Sus scrofa: one gene and its partner. The protein of the gene in region 2 interacts with the protein of the main gene of each other region in a biochemical or structural test. Links are inferred from orthologs where the notes say so. Each region holds a gene or a part of one and is shown on either strand. Other genes may lie near its edges.

Evidence for each region.
Region 1: the proteins of NF2 (region 2) and CD44 form a complex in vitro, tested with the Homo sapiens proteins (2 studies listed by BioGRID, with this or other methods). The link is inferred for Sus scrofa from reciprocal best matches to the Homo sapiens genes NF2 and CD44.

What each region holds. Positions count from the first base shown.
Region 1 is NC_010444.4:25,821,656-25,825,303, reverse strand, and holds part of CD44 (CD44 antigen), read left to right. Parts: intron 1-342; coding exon 343-459; intron 460-3,648. UniProt on the Homo sapiens protein: Cell-surface receptor that plays a role in cell-cell interactions, cell adhesion and migration, helping them to sense and respond to changes in the tissue microenvironment.
Region 2 is NC_010456.5:46,709,293-46,712,940, forward strand, and holds part of NF2 (merlin), read left to right. Parts: intron 1-340; coding exon 341-468; intron 469-2,472; coding exon 2,473-2,638; intron 2,639-3,648. UniProt on the Homo sapiens protein: Probable regulator of the Hippo/SWH (Sav/Wts/Hpo) signaling pathway, a signaling pathway that plays a pivotal role in tumor suppression by restricting proliferation and promoting apoptosis.

The sequences.
Region 1 (3,648 bases), on a different chromosome or scaffold from region 2:
TTCTTAGTGAACTTTCATGAGGATACTCAGTTGAACTTGGGAGTCATTTATTAATTATATCATCTGGGCACAAGATATTTTGTTGCTTCACTGTCAAAATGAGCATGTTAAAATGGTTTGCAGTGCTGCCCTGGACAAAGTGGTTATAGTGGAATAATAGGTAATGGTTAAGAAATTCCATGTCTGTTGGTTTTCTCTTGGGAGAGATTAGTGAAGTCACTCAAAAGGATTCAGAGGAGATGCTCAGAGGTACTATTGAGATGGCATGTCCTTTAATGGAAGAACAGAACCATCAAACATTGGTTGATAAAGTCACCATGTATTTAACCGTCATCACGACAGATATGGACAGAAGTGGCACCAGTGCTCATGGAGAGAACTGGACCTGGGACCCACACTCTTCTCTCAGTCACCATGAGAATCATGACGAAGAGGAGACCCAGCATCCTACAAGCACAAGTAAGAAGGATGGCGGTCGGCAGTTCTGGTTTAGAAGAGTTAGTGAAGTCAAATTGGGAAGACTTTCTGGTAGACATTGGCTGCATCTTCTATTTCCACGCGTGATTTCTTTTATGCCCAGAGCATGAAAAGCTGCCAAATATGCATATAGTTTCTTTAAAAATGGGAAGAAAAATGATCATGTGTCAGGTTGCCCCAAAGGCCAAAGTGTTTAAAAATATGTGAGATGGGGTTTTTGTGTTAAAGATTTGCAGAGGTTCCACTTGGGTAATTCGTGTGTTTTTACGGACAAGTATGATGAAGAGTGTGTTCTTTCGGTGCTTGGTAGTGAGATCTGGAAAGAAAGCGTGACGAGTGCAATGATCTTTGGAATCCTTTTTTTCCATGATGATCTTTGATGTATCCAGATTCTTTTTCACATTCCGTTCCTCAGTGCATTGTAGGAAAGCAACTCTTGTACTCTTTGGAGGAAAGGCAATAGCTCAGACGGTCTACATTGAATTCCATGAGTGTTCTTTCTGTTTTTAAGCTCTGGGTAACTTGGGGAGGGCTTCGATGCTGTTATTTACGTGCAGACACCTCAGGTTTCTTAAAACATTGTCAAGTCTTAGTACTGGCCTATGAGGATAGGACATAAAAAAAAAAAGAAGAAGTGTATACTCTTTTTTTTTCTCTCTCTCAGGGAGATGCCTATGGTGTTTAGAACAAAAGAAGCTTTATTTAGGATGGGAGTTTGTAGCATTTTAAAAATTATGGTTCAACCATTGTTCTCATAGCCTTGAATACCCTTAAAGCAAACGTATAAGCAAAAAGTACTTGGAAGCCAGGTTTGGTTGGAGGATGTCTTCAGACAATAAAAGAAACGTTTAACACATCAGTTAGCACTGAATAGGTTCACAGGTCCTGGGTGTTGTACCGAATATGCCCAACAGACCTACATCTCATTACTTATCCCAATAGATTTGATAGACACGTGAGAATTATGGGCTGAATTATAAGAGTCTTCTGCTAGAAGAAGGAAATGAGAAACAGAAGTCTCTTCAGAGTGGGATTGTGTACCCATCCCTTTGGGTCCAAACAGTAGGTCTTAGAAATTATTTAAGACAGTTTGTGCTTGAAAAGCAGAAAACTATTTCAGAGGCTTGGCGTTAATGAGCCTATTGTCAAAAGATGGTGGGGGAGGGGCAGGGTTACTAGTTGAAAAATGGGACATGACAGATCCTAACTGGGAAAGCAGCAGCTGCTAGAAGAGAGCCAACCTTCACATTTCCAATGGAAATCCTATGCTTTGCTGACCCATATGTTGAAAACAAGAAGGGATTTACTGGATATTTAAGGGATCATTGTGTTTATGAAGACAGTGATAGGAAGAGTATAGGACAGTGTGTGTGTGTGTCTGTCTGTCTGTCTGTGTATTTTCTTTTTCTTTCTCATTTTAGAATTTAAGTGGGGAGTCTATTTTTGGATTAATTTTTCTGTTTTTGTGATTACACCCAGTAGTTCATTATTTGTCAGGAGGTAGTGATTTAGCCAGAGGTGAGGGAGAAAACTTAAGATTTGGGTTTTTGTTTTGGGGATTTTGTTTGCTTGTTTGTTTGTTTGCCATCCCCCTGGATAAGCAGTTATCCCCAGGAATGTTTTGGCCAATGCAAAGGTAAACCAAGAACAGAAAGTTTTATTTTTTTTAATGTCTTTGCTATTAGCAGATCACACATATTTTATAAAATAATGGAATAAACCAGTTTTACAAGTTGCAAAATTCACTTTTACTTGGCAAGTTAATACACTCTCATTTTCTCGATGAACTAAAAATTTGCCATTAGTTGCCATGGATGATAATTTCAACGGCTTTTTGGTTTTTCTCAAAGGCACCCTGATGCAGTTTATTTCATTCATCCTCTCCTCTTCAAACCTGGGCAGTTATGACCCTGAGTATTTGAAGTTTTAAGCCTGCCACACACTCTTCTTGTTTATACAGTGCCAGACTCTGGCTAGAGAAGTTTTCTTCCACTGAATTAATTTTGTTAAAAAATAATCTTGGCACTTTTAGATGCTCCATAGACAGAACCTCGTACTCTGTCAGCGGAGTAGCCTCGCAGTCATTCCTGACAGCTCTCATCCTGGGCAGACCCCCTGCTGGTGCAGTTCCAGGGTGCGATTGTGAGTTATGTGACCACACTTAAGCAGGTGGCCGTCTAGGCTGATCTTGTCGTGATTTTTTTTTTAATTTTAAAAATATTTCTTTTTATTTTCTTTATTTTCTTTGTGGCTGCACCTGTGGCATATGGAAGTTCACAGCAACGTGGGATCCTAGCTGTTCTGTGACCCATGTGGAGGCTCGTGACCATGAGGGGTCCTTAACCCACTGAGAAAAGCCAGGGATTGAACTCACAGCCTCATGGACACTATGCTGGGTTCTTAACCTACTGAGCCACAATAGGAACTCCTGGTCATGGTTGATATATAATGTATTGCTCCCTCCAAAATCACTGGAAACAAGAGGTCAATTTTTTTTTTCAAGACCACACCTGTGGCATATGGAAGTTCCCAGGCTAAGGGTCAGATTGGAGCTGCCATAGTTCATAGCAATGCCAGATCCTTAACCCATGGAGTGAGGCCAGGGATTGAACCTGAATCCTCCTGGGTACTAGTCAGGGTACCCCTGAGCTACAATGGGACACTTCTAATTTTTTTTCTCCTTGGAGTTTTTATTTTTAAGATTATTCGTGAATTATGTAATTTCAAAATGATATTAATCTTTAGGAAAATGTGAGGAGTTGACTTTTCTTTTTTTTTTTTTTTGTCTTTTTGCTATATCTTGGGCCACTCCCGCGGCATATGGAGGTTCCCAGGCTAGGGGTTGAATTGGAGCTGCAGCCACCAGCCTATGCCAGAGCCACAGCAACGCGGGATCCGAGCCGCGTCTGCAACCTACACCACAGCCCACGGCAACGCCGGATCCTTAACCCACTGAGCAAGGCCAGGGATCGAACCCGCTACCTCATGGTTCCTAGTCAGATTCGTTAACCACTGCGCCACGACGGGACTCCAAGAGTTGACTTTTCTTTAATGCTTTTATAGCAAAAGGATTTAAATTTTTAAATAGGGAACATTTTGCATTTAGAGTACATTTTGGAGCATCTAAGCTTTCCCTCACTTCCTGGACACAAGGATGCAAAGATAAATAAG
Region 2 (3,648 bases):
CAGAACATTCTAGGGCCTTAAAAGAGAGATGGGGTGTAGAGAGGCAATGTGGTTTAAGCAGAGGAACAGAGATGGGAAGTGAAGAGGTCCAGGGGTAATAAAGGATGTGGTTTATGATTTTGTAGGGGGGACGGTGGGAGAAGTAGATTGGGACTGTATTCCGGTGACCCTTTGGTCTGGGAGGAGAAAGTCTTCAAAACAAATCTAATTGCCTCTGCTTCCAATGTGGGCACGCTGGGCCCAGAGCCTTTTCGGCCTCTGGAGGGACCAGTGGTTGTTGCAGCAGGGCCCTCCAGTCTTGTGAAACCAAACCTCCTAATCAGAGATTCCTCTCTCGCAGCCGATGAACCCCATCCCAGCACCGTTGCCTCCTGACATACCAAGCTTCAACCTCATTGGCGACAGCCTGTCTTTCGACTTCAAGGATACGGACATGAAGCGGCTTTCCATGGAGATAGAGAAAGAAAAGTACGTAGTCCCCCCCTCCCCTGCATCCTGCATGGCTAGCAGGTGAGCAGAATGAGTGGATCTGGGCCTGGGGATGTGGAGGGCCGCCGGTCACTAACTCCTGCCAAGGTGTGCTCCGTTCTCACCCACTGGAAGAGGAATTTCCTAATCTGAATGGAAGAGCAACAGGCCAGCATTCACTCTTCCAGGATAAAAATGACACTTGATTAGTGACCTGGAGTTTAAAGTGGCTCCAAAGCCCACCTAAAGTATAGAAGGGGATGTTGGGGGTCTCTAAGCCTGTCCAACGGCTGCTAACATGATGGTTGTGTTCTAAGCTGGTGATGGAACACGTTTCCTACTTGTGTTCTCTGGCAGCTGAGCTGTGGCGGTCCCATGTCTAGAACAAGGGCGAGAGAGAAGGAACTCAGGCTTCAGGCTGAGAAGAGCAAACAGCCAGGGCGGCAGCCAGCTTGACCCCAGCACGCCCTGAGCTGCTCTCCTCCCTCACTTTAGGGTCAGGGAAGGGGGTCTGAGAAGGCAGGGAGCCCCCTGGCAGAGGACAACTTAGGAGGTCCCTAATCAAAGATAAATGAGCCATGGAGTTCCCGGGGTGGCACAGTAGTTAACAGATCCAACTAGGAACCATGAGGTTGCAGGTTTGATCCCTGGCCTTGCTCAGTGGGTTAGGGATCCAGCGTTGCCTTGAGCTGTGGTGTAGGTTGCAGACGCAACTCGGATCTGGTGTTGCTGTGGCTCTGGCGTAGGCCAGCGGCTTCAGCTCTGATTCCACCCCTAGCCTGGGAACCTCCATATGCCACAGAAGCAGCCCTAGAAAAGGCAAAAAGACCGGGGAAAAAAAAAAAAAAAAAAAGATAAATGAGCCAGCTTGTGCCACAGCTGGCCAGGGCTCAGTCACAGTAGCTGCCAGGCATTGGGTGCCTGGGTGACAGTGTCCTTCGGCTTTTATCTCATTTCATTCCCACTAACCGACTTCAAAGGTAGGTTTGGTGTTCCCATTTGTAAATGAGAACCCAGATTTCGAGTCTTTAAGGCACTCACCCAGCATCCCACAGCTGGTGAGGAACAGGCTTGGATCCGGCCCCTCGCCGGTCTGACTCTGTGCTCTCACCTTGTTTGATGTCCTTGGATGACCCTCCCAGTGCCCAGCACGGGCAGCCACAGGCCGTCTCTTTGGGCTTGAGCGCTGAGGATAGAGGGGACCCTCGTCTCTGTGGCACCGTGGTCTGAGTTCCCCCCAGCCCTCCACTGTTTCCCAGGCATGCTCAGCGTGACCTGGTTGCGATGAGGGTGAGGCTGTGTCCTGTTCAGTGTCCCGCTTTCACAGCTTGTGTTTTCTGACTCATTGCCTGTGCGCACGTGGGCAGAGTCCATAACCAGCCACGGGAATGGCTGTGGAGCATCCCCTGGGTCTGTGTCGCAGGGTTTGCCTGGCCATGCCCGTGCAGTTGGACGCCCTCGGGGTTCACCCACACAGATACAGTATCTGCTTGCAGGGGAGGGTGAGCGTCTTTCTCTCCCTAGTGCTGGCTGAGTGAGCCTCTGTCATCTTTAGGCGATGATGTCCCTAAACAAGTAGGGATGTGGCCAAGGCCTATCAGAAGAGGTCACCAGAATGAAATCACCTCTCCAAGAAGGGCTGAGACAAGGAGATTAGGATGTCAGGAGGTTTGTTTCTCCAGTTGTTTTTTGGACAGAACTAAAAGCTGTCTGCTGTTCATTACAACTGGTATGAGAGTTTACTGAGGCTTTCCTACACTTCTTTCTGTTTAATCCTGACCATAGATAGCCCTGTGCTCATTGTCCCTATTTCATGGATGAGGAAACAGAGCAGTTAAGTGACCAGCTCGAGCTCCCACAGCCCATGAGTGGCCAAGCAGAGACGTGAACCCCAGGCTGCAGACCCTGGGTCCCGGGCCAAGCAGCCTGTGGGTCTGGAGCCTCTCAGCCACAGTGCGTCTCCCAGTTGGCCAAAGCCGTGACTCACTCTCCTCTTGCTGGCAGAGTGGAGTATATGGAGAAGAGCAAGCATCTGCAGGAACAGCTCAATGAACTCAAGACAGAGATCGAGGCCTTGAAACTCAAAGAGAGGGAGACGGCCCTGGATATTCTGCACAACGAGAACTCTGACCGGGGTGGCACCAGCAGCAAGCACAATACCATTAAAAAGGTACCGAGTCGCTGGGCTTTTGCTGATCTTGACAGTCGTTAATGAAATGAGAGGTTGGCATCTGGTTACCTCTGTCATTCGACTGTTGTCATTTTTTATATATCCTTAGTTGAGGAAATTTTTTGACTCACGCCAGAAAGGGAATTTAATCTGCCAATGGCTGTGAACCCATTGGCTTGATGGAAGGGAGCTTGTGTTAAAAGCTCTGATGAAATGAATCACTGTTACAGGACGGATTTTGATCCATCATTTAGCAGCAAAGCAGTTCTGTCTTTTAAGCCGAGGGGAGTTCTGCCCAGGGAGCTGCCTTAGTTAATGAGAAAGCAAAATGAAAGGGAGGCTGTTGAGAATGGACTCTCTCTCTAGTCTTTTTGTGTTTTTAAGTGGCAAGGACTATATAGTTCTAGAGCTGCTGAATTTTTAACTTTTTTTCATACTTGAAAGGAAATACCTAGAAGGACCTTCACGTTTTAAAAGATGAGACTTCATTTATGTTGCCAACGGTTTCATATCTTTATGGATATTTTGAGCTTTCAGCATTTCCGAGGAAGTTACATTCCATACTGACTGCCTACCCAGGAGTGTACTTCTCTTACATTGGGCAAAGCAGAAAGGTCTGCTCCTGCCAGCTGATGTCTGCTCCTGACTGTTACCCCAGGGCCAGGTTCACGTCTAGAAAACAGGGGTCAATAAGGCAAGACTGTTCATTGAGCTTAACTGATGAGAGTTAGATATAATTATTTATTTATTTATTTATTTGGCTTTTTGCCATTTCTTGGGCCGCTCTGAGGCATATAGGGGTTCCCAGGCTAGGGGTCGAATCGAAGCTGTAGCCACCAGCCTACGCCAGAGTCACAGCAACGCAGGATCCAAGCCGCATCTGCAACCCACACTACAGCTCACGGCAATGCTGGATCCTTAACCCACTGAGCGAGGCCAGGGATCGAACCCGAAACCTCATGGTTCCTAGTCAGATTCATTAACCACTGCACCACGACGGGAACTCCTAA